3 linked regions of the Caenorhabditis elegans genome follow. The protein of the gene in region 1 purifies or fractionates together with the protein of each later gene. This does not show direct contact. Each region holds a gene or a part of one and is shown on either strand. Other genes may lie near its edges.

Region 1 (3,124 bases):
GTCAGAACAGGTGAACTTGTGGTTGTCGATGATTTTTGCGATTTGGAAGATTGTGAAGACGATCTAAAATTTTCAGATTACAATGATTTTTGTTTTCACAAGAGTACGGAGATTTTCCGATATTTCTTTTTATGCTTTATCATTTGTGGTAGAAATCTGATTGAACACGTAGAGGGCGACGTGTAGAAGAATAGAGATATAAGCAGGCAAGTAGGCATACAGTCATGAAAGCAGCTAGGCATGGATCTGAAGAATGCCTGGAGACGTGTCATGTCAGCCTTCCAACGTCTTCCTTCCTACTACGTATCTACATATCTAGCTGCGTACCTACCAATTCCTGCCTGTCTATCTACGTGCCTACATCGCATCAGCCTTCCCACTTGCCTATATCATGCCTGCCCATTCTTAAAAGATCAAAAACTCACAAAATGTCGGTCTTTGCCAAACTGTGCGGACACGTGGTTCCAATTTGGAATCGTTTTCTAATTTTACAGTTTAAAATCTTCAAATCCTCCAAAATCTGCATTGTTTCATCATCCAAATAGTCAGTTTTGTCTTCACGTCTGTTGAATTGACTCCATTTCTTTGATACGTGGATTGCACGTGACGTCATTCGTTTTCCATGTTTCGATGATGACTTCGGTTTGCCTTCTTTTGATTTGCGATCTTTTTTGAGAGTTTTGAGATTCAGAGATGAGTTTCTTGATGGAGGAGACGAAGATGATTTAGATGAACGAAGTGAATCATTAATATTCTTTCCTTCAGGTTTTACTGAAACTCTCAACATTTCCTCTTCCATATCATCATTGGCTCGCTTGTAATAGATTGTGAGACCATCTGGACGACGATCAATACGAGTTGTTGAATGACGTCTTCGAATCATTTTGGACTCACTTATTCGACTTCTGAAAAACTTTTCATGAAATAATGCTTTTGGATTGTTTTTAAATAGTTTTTTGTGGTACTGTAGCGCCAAAATTACGAAAACTTTACACAGCTTAACGCAGTTTAAAAAGCATCAAAATCGGTTTAGATGAAAAGTCTATTTGCTGATAAAATTAAAAGTTTTCAAGTCGATTATCGATATCCTCGTCATTCACTGGTAATCCATATTTCAACTCTAGAGCATCAAGAATACCAAAGCATTTTGTCGTGAGAACCGCTATGTTTGCGTACTAATGGCGTTACCGTATTCCTCCACAGTAGGAACCTATGCCTTCGCCTGCCTCGTGCCTACCAGCAGCCTAGAGCCTTGCTTTCTTTATTCTGATTTTCAACAAAACCAATCGAAATTACTACAACTGTAGCATCAAACACAAAGTTCACGAAGGTATTAAGTATGCAAGTAGGCTTGAAGCAATGCCAACGACGGAAATCTCAAACCCGAAAGAAATCTGATTAAAACTTACGATTTGAGTGCAAATCTTCTCGTTTTGCGATCGCCAACGAAATAACTTATAAGAACTGAATTGTTTTGTTTCTGGATTATTATCTCACACGTAATCTCTCCGACCTTGGGTTTTTATAGAAAAAAATTAATTTAAATACTGGATTTATATACATTTTATTGTTAGCTTCAACTTTTCCAAGATTGTTCAGAAATTTCCGATTATTTAAATTAAATACTCTAGGACAAAATGTTGTGTGACCCATCGACATTTCTAATTTGAATTCCCTCGGTTTTCATTAGCATTGTGCAATAGGGCGCACTTGCTGTTTCAACCAATTTTTGATCGTTCTCTGCTTTTTTCAATCATTTTCTCTTTTTCCTTACTGCTTTACAATAAAAGCGTATATTTCCAGTGATGCCTGCGCAATCAATAAATCAGAAAAATGATTTATACCTCGAAAAAATGGAATTAATCGACAAATTCATCACCCTTCACGATCAACTTCGAAAAGACTTGAACTTGGCAAGTTTGTGTATTTCTAAAGCAAAGTAAGTTTTATTCGTTTCGTAAAATGAATCTTTATCGAGAAATTGTTCAGAACAACGCACGGAATTGGTCTTTTCAGTGTTAATTCTGTCGATACACACGATTTGGAGCCATCTATCAGGTATAAACTACTTTTTTTTGAATTATACTTACTTAAGTGTATTCATTTTTAGATTGGATACGAAAAACGGGAAATTTGTACTTCTCAAAAATTCAGAGAATGAGGAAGAGAAAAACGACAAAAAGAATAAGAAAAAGGTTTTTTGCAATCGTTTTTTGTTCCACAAAAATTTACATTTAAATTTTTTGCAGAAGGACGAGAATAAATCAGAAAAGAAGAATAGCGGAGAATCAGAAGACGTTGAAGAAGCCAAAAAAACATTTTCTGGACAATTCCGTCCGTTTGGGGTTCTTGAGCCGGCTGCTGCAAAGGACGCTCGAAAAATTTATAGAAATTCTATTCAGGTATTGAAAATCTCAGGAATTTAATTTCAAATCCATTTTTCAGACGATTCTCGACCTTGTATCCACCCAACAATCAATTCTTGCCAAATCCCGCCAACTTGTTGAGGATTGTTAAATTGCATGATTCTGTGATAAATATGTATTCAATCAATATAAAAACAAAACTCTCGATTTATTTCAGCGTTCGCCCGCAATAGCGGAACTTACGAGTAGAGATTTTCAGAGAAAATGATGGATTTCAGCAAGAAATACATGAACATGAAAAGACACGAAAGTTAAATATATTATAAGATTTATAGATCCTGAAAACAGGTGCAATCAGTTCTATTTGAAAAAAAAAAGAATCCCTGAGAGTGCAATTTGAGGAGGTAGGTGGTAGTATGGTTTAGAGGGGAAATTTGAGTAAAACAATTGAAAAAAAAACATCAAAATTTGAATAAAAAAAGAGTTAGTGTGTAAGTTAAAGTAACGCATGCAAACTGAGAATTAGATGAGACAGAAAATGAAATAAATATTGGTTTCAAAATAAAATACATTTCAAAAGCTGAAAAACTATCAGAAAGCTCAAAATTATTTCCTAAAATTTTCACATTTAAATTTGGATGTTCAAGAATTTCGAGACAAAATCTATTTGAGACCATATATTCCATTATTTCTCTATCAATATTCTCAGTGTCTAGATGATTCTATTCATCAGAGGAATTACTATTCTTTTCTCTAAT
Region 2 (3,538 bases), on another chromosome or scaffold:
TTTGTGCCATCAGGCTCATATTAGGTTTGCAGTATTCTGTGATGCACATATCGCTTATCTCATTCATTACATTATCTGAGAGTTTCAGCTCACTAGTGGTCGGTTCCTCCATCTGAATAGGACTTTTCTTGAGATTAAATTTATAATTTCAAAGATAAAATAGTATTTAAGAGCGCCAACAACGCATCTGATATTAAAAATAAATACATAATCCGAAAAACAAACCATACTCTGTTCATTAAAAGTAGTGAAGTCACACAATAAATCACCTATACATTGAAAGAATAATTATCACACACAAAAGAAACAAGAAATGGGCACCCGGTTGAGCATGCAATACATAATAAAAATAAAATTGTACAATCGAATATGTTATGAAAATCTGATAATTTCAAGTGGCAGCACCAGACCATCCCGAGAAGTATGAAGACCACGAGCCTGCCTGAGCGGTTGCCATATGTGCTGAAAAAAATAAATTCGAAAAAAAGTTGAACGATTAATCCGTAAGTATTTAGTAGTGGAGGTAGTAAATTCTATTTTGGAAAATTTTCGAAAATAAATAAATTTTTCTGAAACGCCGATTTAAAGGCGCACCGATTTATTAATGCCGATGGGTAACACCGCGATAAAAAAGTTTATGGTAGCAGCCCAATTTTTGATTTTTTGAGACTTATTTCCGAAAATTGAGAATTGTTTTACTTGTTTTTAAAGTTGTTTTCGTCTTCTCCACCTAAATAACGCCCAACTAGTAAAAACACTAAACCTTCGCGATGTTGAAATACTTTGAGAAGGCGGGACAATACTTTTGTTGATATTGTTCAATATTATTGCCTCTCTTCCGCCAGCCGTTGGCTATTGCAGAGAAATAGTTGTCCACCACAATCTCTTTCAGCGCTTTCTCTATTCCTCTTTTATCTGTTTTATAGCCTGCTCTGGGTGCTCTCACCTGATGCAGCTTTCAGAATTTCGACTTCTTTCGGTGACAAATGTAGAACTCTCTGCAGTACGATAACCAGCTGGTCTCGTTCTGCGGGAACACTTTCTGGCTTGAGAAACTGTACAAATACGTTCTTCAAATATTCCATATTTTTCTCGTTTGACAACTCGGCTTCTCGCTTTTCTTCTCGTTCCAGTCGGCGAATTTCATCTTTTAGCAGTGAATTCTAGAAATTTAAATATTGATTCTAAAACTTTTCCCAATTCTACCTGAGTTGTTAACCTTCCATTTGCAGTCTCGGCATCACTGAGAAGCTCTGCGACGTGATGATTTGTTTTCTTCAAATTCTCTAACTGGTCTAGAATGACCTTGAATTTCTCCTCCGATAGTTCATCTGATTCGACTCCTGCAAGTATTTCGAAATAAGTAACTTTTTAGAAAACAATCTTATTTATATAAAATATAAAACTAACTGTATTCATCACCGAGATCTCCATACAAAACATCCTCCAGTGACCGATCAGGCTGAAAAAAAAAACAGGTTTTTAAAAAGTAGTTTTCGTAGGAATGACGAACTTTCTGAGGCGCGTGGCACAATATTTTTTATATTATTTATCACTTTTTCTCAATGTTTCTCCAGAAAATTCGGTTTTGATCTCTGAATGTTCATTTTTGTTTTGTTGCGCGCGCGCGCGCGAGAAATTGACCCGCGTGTTTTTCCAAATTTGTCGAATATAAAAGAAGCGTTTTTCAGTCATTATCTTCTCGTCTGATATCTTTTATTCGACTACTTCTACTAACATCCCCAAAAATGGTGAGTTTTTTTTTGCTTTTCACTTCAACATTTCTTTAAAAACCGGCTAATTTTCACTGAAATCTCCCAATTTTTTCAACTTTTCCGCGCCGCTGTGACTTTTCCTTGATTATTGTTTTATTTTGGTGGTTTATCTCTTGTGATGACGTTTATTTCGATGTTTTAGGCCAGTAATGTGGCCTAAATAATCTAAATCAACGAAATAATATGAGATTAGATTCAATCTCCAACCGCAGCGACACGGAAAAGTTGCTAAAATTAAAGTTTTAGGTGAAATTTGTCACTTGTCGAATAGAATAATTTTTTTGAGTAATCTCATTACGAAATTTAGCACGTTTTTAATTCAAAACCTTCTTTTAATCGATTAATTTCAATTTCTTTTATTTTCAGGAATCCTTTGCCACCTCGGACAAACTCTTTGAAAGCCGCGAGTTCGTCAAAGGACTCGAGGAGCTGAAAAAGCGACGTGAAGATGGCGAGATGACTTGTGATCTTCTCTGGAGAATGTGCCGCTTCTGCCACGAACTTTCGACGACGATGAGCGGAGAGCAGCGACGAAAGATGCTGATCGAAGGACGCGACTACGGATTGGAAGCCATGGATCTTGATCCATCAAGCTTCCTTGCCGCTAAATGGACTGCCATCATGTTCGGACTTGTTGTCGATCAACTGCCAACTAAGGAGAAGATCAATGACGGTGGACGGCTCAAGGACATGCTCGACAAGGCTCTCGAATTGGATCCAACCGACTTTGCTCTTCTCCATCTTCGTGCTCGCTTCTCTTACACCATCGCGAACCTTTCATGGCTTGAAAGAAAAGTGAGTTTCTTATAATCTTTTGTCTTGAATTCTTCCGAATAACACTCTAATTTCCAGGCAGCTTCAATGCTCTACAGCGAAGTTCCAAAAGCAACGATCGACGACGCTCTCGTCGACTTCAAAGCCGCCTACAACCAAAACGCTGATTGGATCGAGAATTTGCTGTTCCTGTCGAAATGTCATCTTGCCAAGAAGGAGAAGCAGCAAGCACGTGAGATGCTGAACAAGGCGATCGTCTTACCTGCCGCTTCATCGAATGATGCTCAATTCGTCACGGAGTGCAAGTCTCTTCTCCAAAAATGCTAATTCGATCTATTTGACTACGGTTTCTTATTGATTCCTGCCCCCCTCTCTCCCCAATTAACTTCATATTTTGCATCAATGAATTTTTCTGTAAATAAAGAATTTTTACCTGTGTTGGCTCATCATAACAAGAAACAGAATCAGAAGGAGCAACTGCTGGTCTTTGATAATGAAGAGGTGGAATAGGATGTTCTGGAAGCTGAATCGGCTGAGGTACGACAGCTGCAATAGCTTTCTGCTGCTGGTGTTGATTGCTTTGAATTCGACGAGTTTCAAAGTCATTTCTCAACTCTTGTAATTCCTTTTCTAGACTGTGAATCTGCTTTGTTGCACTTGACAGCTTGCTTTTCAGACTTCCATTCTCATTTTCACTTCTTTGCCTCTCATTCTGCAGAAGATGATCTACTTTTTCCTTTGCGATCTCTATATCTTTAATCTTTTGTTCAGCAGTATCACGAGATGATCTCATTAATCTCAATTCTTCGTCCAATCTTTGAATCAACTTCGAAGAGCTCGACTGAAGTTCGTCAATTGCCGTAGTGTGAGCCTTTTCTGATTCGGTGAGTTCTGATTTGAGAACTTTTAGAGTTTTCTCAAGTCTTTCTGCTTTGTCACGTGAAGAAGCCAAATCTTCGACAGTTTTAAAATGCTCCTGCCTTGTCTGA
Region 3 (5,554 bases), on another chromosome or scaffold:
TAGATTCGCCTAGGAATACTGTGTTTGTTTGATCAGCGGGATAGTTTTGAAATAAAACTTGATTTTTCGATGAAGTAGGGATATTTCTCAAAAATGATTTTCTATTGAACCAACATATTAAAATTTAGCTACAGTAACCAAAAAAGGTCGTTTTCTTTGAATACTTCTGCATGGAGTACTGTAGCAAGAATTTCAGCTGCGTCGGGGATTACTGCTACCGTAACCTGCGAGCGGTGTCTGATTTTTTTAAAAGGTGGAAACTTAGAAATTCATGTGATTTTAGTGAAAAATAGTTTTTTTTTCCAAAATTTTTACGCTGTGCATTTCCTTTTTTTGGCATTGATTACAATTTCTCCCATTTTCCAGTGTATTTACCTCACATCATCCTCTGAATCAAAAACTTCATCCCCAACAGCTCCACCGAGATAATAATCATCATCCATTTTTTCAAAAGCAAGTCTACGCATCGTTGCTGCGGTCACTTCATCTGCTGGATATTGGTCATCGAACGTCTCATCGTCATCGTTGATCATCATCGTCTGCCGCTTCTTCTGAAAATAAAACACATTTATTACCCAAAAACACACCACAATACGAAGAAGGAAACACGATAAATACGAGAGAGTGTGAAAATGAAGAGAAAATGAGAAATAAATATATGTGTAGAAGAACCCATAAAGATGCAAATCACAAGAAAAATAAAAATGCTGAATAGAGTAGTAGATATAATAAAAACATATAAAGTTGGTTGGAACTAGTAAATGAATCATTATCTACAGGGGTCCGGGAATCCCGGATCGCGAAAAAATGTTTTTTTTAACTGAAAATTTCTGAATTATACTGTAGAATTGAGCCACAAAACTGAGTTTTTTCTGTAAAAATATTCGAATTAGAGCTCGGTACGAGTCTCCGCAGCAGATTGAGCCGCAGATTTTCCAGCAATTCTGCCAAACACCACACATTCAAGCAGGGAATTTCCAGCCAATCGATTGGAACCATGAACTCCGCCAGTGACTTCTCCAGCGGCAAAAAGGCCGACAATTGGCTTGCCATGCTCATCGATGACGCGGGTGGCCTCGTCGATTTTCAGGCCACCCATGGTGTAGTGGATTGCTGGGACGACGATTGCTGCGTAGATTGGCTCAGTCGGAGAGATTGCAGACACTGGGAACACCTGGAAATGGGAAATTATTACAGTTTCGGTATTTTTCGGCTAATTCCGATGCAAAAATAACTTTGTTTTTACAGTTTCGATATTTTTTTTTGCTGAACGATATTTTTTTAATTTTGAAAAAAAATTTAGGCTTGGGAAAGTTTAAATTGAAAATAGATCGTCAAATATTCGGGGAAAGATTTTCTCGATATTTTTCAACGTTTTACTCAAAGTTTCTAATAATACAATTTCAGCACAATTTTTCCTAAATCTATGAATTTTAGTTTTTCTTTCACTTTTCTGATTTTATAAAGTCTGTTTTAAAAGTAAATGCAATTTTGATCAACTTTTCAGAATTCTTAGTCATTTTTTCAAGAATTTTAAAATTAAAAATATTTGAATACCTTTTTGCCGAAAGGATCTTCAGATTTTCCATCAAAACTCTTCTGATATTCCTCCAAAGTGGTTTTAATAGCTGATTCGTCGATACCCAAAGCCTTTGCAAGCTCCGCGGAGTTCTCGTATTTCGCTGAAAAAAATCAGATTTCAGAGCAATAATACAATTTTCATAATATAAAACTAAAAATTAAAAAAATTAATTTGAAAAAGGGAATTTTTAAAAATTTCAGAAATTCCGGAAAAAAAAATTAGTTTTGGATTTAAAATGCTTTTAAACTCCAAAAAAAAGGAAGCTGATAAAATTTTCGACAAAAAAATCTTTAAACTGGGAATTTTTAATACGAAGATTTTGTCGAACTTATTCTCGAGAAGTGTTAATGGATTTCGAAAAAAAAAATGAAATTTGAAAAAAATTGTTTGGGATTTTTCAAATAACAAACAACTAATTTAAAAAATGTTTTCCAACTTTTTCACAGAAAAAAACCTACCAAAGAATTTCTTAACAATCGAATAAAAATTGAAAGCAGGTCTGCCAAAAGCCTCAACATTTGCTTCATTCATAATCATAATCGCCGCATTTCTTCCAGCAGATCCTCCTTGGAAACTCTCTTCAATTGGCTCAGCGAGCTCAAGAATCTTTCCAGTTAAATAATCGCGTCTTCCCAACTCATTTCCAAATCTTTGTCCCTTTGAGTTAATAAGCAGAGCTCCTTTTCCACGAATAGCCTCAGCCGCCAGGAACTTTGTTCCTGCTGATGGATCTTTTGGATCTACAAACGCTGTAGGATGAATCTGAATATTTTCCATTCCAATAATCTTTGCTCCAAGAGCTCTCGCAATTTTCACACCATCTCCTTTAGCGAATGCTCCATTTGTTGTTGGGAATCCGAATATTTCAGCTCCAAATTCCTTGAGCAAAGTTTCATCAGCAGAGAATCCACCGGTTGCAAGGATTACAGCGTCTCCGATGATCTTTGATTTCTCTCCAGAAGCTGATGTTACAATCTCGATTCCCGATACTTTTCCATTTTCTCTCAAAATTCCAACCATTTTAGTCTGAGTCAAAAGCTTGAAGGCTTCTGGATTCTCCGATTGCTTCTCATTAAGCCTTGTTCTCAATCTCTTCATAATTTCGAAACCAGCTGGTATTGGTCGTCCTTCCTTTGGAGATGGAATCCAATGAGTACGTGGTACAGAATGCCCACCACATAGATTCACATCAGTCAGATCCACTTCAACTCCACGCAGAAATTCAACAGCATCTGCTGAATTAGCAGCCAGAATTTCCACAAGTTTCTTGTCATTTTCAGAGTCTCCTGCACTCAGAGTGTCCTTGACAAGAAGTTCCGGCGAATCTTTGATTCCCAGTTTCTCCTGAGTTTCGGTTCCAGCACCGTTGATTCCGCTGGATGCCTGGAATATTTTTTTCAAGAAGTGAGGATATTGGACACTTTTTTTAAAAATCACCTAGACTTACTAAAACATTTTACTGTAATTTGGCATACTTAATTTTGAAATTTTTCAGAACGAGAATTTGTTACTCTTTTTTTTTATTTCCAGCTTTTTCACACGATTTAACTGTTTTTAAATTTGAAAATTTCTTACAATCGAAATTTTTTAATTTATCATATTTTTTCAGAGACGTTTCAGTTTTAAAGGAAAAAAAACAGAATATTATTTTTTTTCACAATTTGCAACTAATAGTAAAATAAATAACTTTTTCAGAAATTTGGAACAAAAAAATGCGAGAAAATAAATTTTAACAATCGATATTTCCAGAAGTTAAATAGATTTTTTTCAAAAATTCGCAAGATCTTACCTTCGCTGAATTTCCACCAGTATTTCCCTCTCCCTCTACCAAAATCACACGTCCACCTCCATTGATAATATCCAGTGAAGCAGACAGCCCGGCGAGCCCACCTCCAACAACAACGACAGTTGGCTCAGCATGAAGCACAGAAGCCATAACTGTAAGCGAAATGAGCACCCGAATCATCAAATGTCTGTCAATGGGGAAATTTCAACAACGGACACAAAGGGAAATTATAGAAAATGATAGAAAATTGGTTAAAACCGCCGAAAAAATTAGACAGAATTATTTTTTAAAAACCCATTATTTATGGAATGTCTAACATAGGAGAAAAACCGAAAAAAAGGGAAAATATAAAATAAATTAAAGCTGATTTTTGAATAAATATATTCACATGGATAAGGCATCTGGGAAGCATGAAAAAAAAGTGATGGGGAAAAACAATCAATAATTCATAACCGTAACTATTCACATTTACTTTTGATCTAGTAGTATCGATACTACAGTGCTCCACATAATGATACGGCCACCCCAAATTTTGGTATAACTCAAAACTGGGTTGAGATAGCAAAACATAGTTTCTTGTGAAAATGTTCGCTGTACTAACTTACTTTCAGATAAGTATTGGAAATATACCTGAACCGTTTGTAAAAAAGATAAACCATTTTTTCATGAAAAACCATATTTAAAAAATCCACAAAATGATACGGCCACCCTTGGTTTTCGTTTTCTTTTTTCGTTTTCTTTGCAATTTTTTTTGCTAAACGTTAAGTTTCATGTTCGTTTGTGTTTTTACAGTTATGGGTCGTGGAATAACTTCAACTGACTGCGAAAAAGGACAAATTGTGCCAAATTATCTCAAGGCTTCTCGAATCGTCAGATTTTTCGTGATTTGGAAACTTTCGAGAGATATGATCACTCGATATGCTTCCAATCCTGCCGCTTATTGCACAAAAAAGTCTTCTGGTCGCACACCTTTTCTTTCTGTCAGACCCAAAAAAAAAACCGTTCGTCGAGCATCCAATTGAACAGTGACTTGCTCGAAAAGTAGGAGCGAGATGAACCTGGCAGTGTCTGTTGAGGCCGTACGACATGTCCTTTTGAAGTCTCAGTTTAACAAAAGACGAAAATTAAGAAAGGCTCCATTCATTACCAAAAAACCGCCAAAACCGTATTCAGTTTGCTAAAATCAGTCAGGGAACTAACTGAAGACAAGTGAGGATTACGGTATAATCATTCAAGCCCAGTTTTTGGTTTCAGTTCATCTTCAGTGACGAGAAAAAGTTTAACTGTAATGAACCAGATTACTACCGTGATTAGTGGCACGATTTGAGAAAAGAAAAGATGAACTGAAACCAAAAACTGGGCTTGAATGATTATACCGTAATCCTCACTTGTCTTCAGTTAGTTCCCTGACTGATTTTAGCAAACTGAATACGGTTTTGGCGGTTTTTTGGTAATGAATGGAGCCTTTCTTAATTTTCGTCTTTTGTTAAACTGAGACTTCAAAAGAACATGTCGTACGGCCTCAACAGACACTGCCAGGTTCATCTCGCTCCTACTTTTCGAGCAAGTCACTGTTCAATTGGATGCTCGACGAACGGTTTTTTTTTTGGGTCTGACAGAAAGAAAAGGTGTGCGACCAGAAGACTTTTTTGTGCAATAAGCGGCAGGATTGGAAGCATATCGAGTGATCATATCTCTCGAAAGTTTCAAATCACGAAAAATCTGACGATTCGAGAAGCCTTGAGATAATTTGGCACAATTTGTCCTTTTTCGTAGTCAGTTGAAGTTATTCCACGACCCATAGCTGTAAAAACACAAACGAACATGAAACTTAACGTTTAGCAAAAAAAATTGCAAAGAAAACGAAAAAAGAAAACGAAAACCAAGGGTGGCCGTATCATTTTGTGGATTTTTTATATGGTTTTTCATGAAAAAATGGTTTATATTTTTTACAAACGGTTCAGGTATATTTCCAATACTTAACTGAAAGTTAGCCAGTACAGCGAACATTTTCACAAGAAACTATGTTTTGCTATCTCAACCCAGTTTTGAGTTATACCAAAATTTGGGGGTGGCCGTATCATTATGTGGAGCACTGTACATTTAGCAAAAAAACATTAGCAACGTAGCCGCGGAAGAGAAAGCTCGGCCATGCCGCAAATACAATTCATAAATTTGGCGGGACT

What was found.
Region 2: the proteins of F02E9.1 (region 1) and rmd-1 fractionate together in Caenorhabditis elegans (co-fractionation; one large-scale study listed by BioGRID). This does not show direct contact.
Region 3: the proteins of F02E9.1 (region 1) and F48E8.3 fractionate together in Caenorhabditis elegans (co-fractionation; one large-scale study listed by BioGRID). This does not show direct contact.

Annotation. Positions count from the first base shown.
Region 1 is NC_003279.8:8,405,073-8,408,196, forward strand, and holds F02E9.1 (Vacuolar ATPase assembly protein VMA22), read left to right. Parts: upstream 1-1,755; 5' UTR 1,756-1,853; coding exon 1,854-1,939; intron 1,940-1,989; coding exon 1,990-2,058; intron 2,059-2,110; coding exon 2,111-2,195; intron 2,196-2,249; coding exon 2,250-2,402; intron 2,403-2,445; coding exon 2,446-2,517; 3' UTR 2,518-2,573; downstream 2,574-3,124. Other genes in the region: F02E9.3 (Suppressor protein SRP40-like), read right to left, coding at 1-63, 426-883; Protein lin-28, read right to left, coding at 3,089-3,124.
Region 2 is NC_003281.10:9,757,403-9,760,940, forward strand, and holds rmd-1 (Regulator of microtubule dynamics protein 1), read left to right. Parts: upstream 1-1,691; 5' UTR 1,692-1,748; coding exon 1,749-1,751; intron 1,752-2,141; coding exon 2,142-2,570; intron 2,571-2,627; coding exon 2,628-2,876; 3' UTR 2,877-2,982; downstream 2,983-3,538. Other genes in the region: vps-53 (Vacuolar protein sorting-associated protein 53 homolog), read right to left, coding at 1-112; gcc-2 (GRIP and coiled-coil domain-containing protein 2), read right to left, coding at 392-462, 947-1,163, 1,207-1,343, 1,411-1,462, 2,983-3,538. UniProt on the Caenorhabditis elegans protein: Acts in chromosome segregation and organization during mitosis.
Region 3 is NC_003281.10:5,459,380-5,464,933, reverse strand, and holds F48E8.3 (fumarate reductase (NADH)), read right to left. Parts: upstream 3,556-5,554; 5' UTR 3,519-3,555; coding exon 3,372-3,518; intron 2,966-3,371; coding exon 2,041-2,965; intron 1,683-2,040; coding exon 1,558-1,682; intron 1,175-1,557; coding exon 890-1,174; 3' UTR 552-889; downstream 1-551. Other genes in the region: F48E8.2 (E2F-associated phosphoprotein), read right to left, coding at 376-536.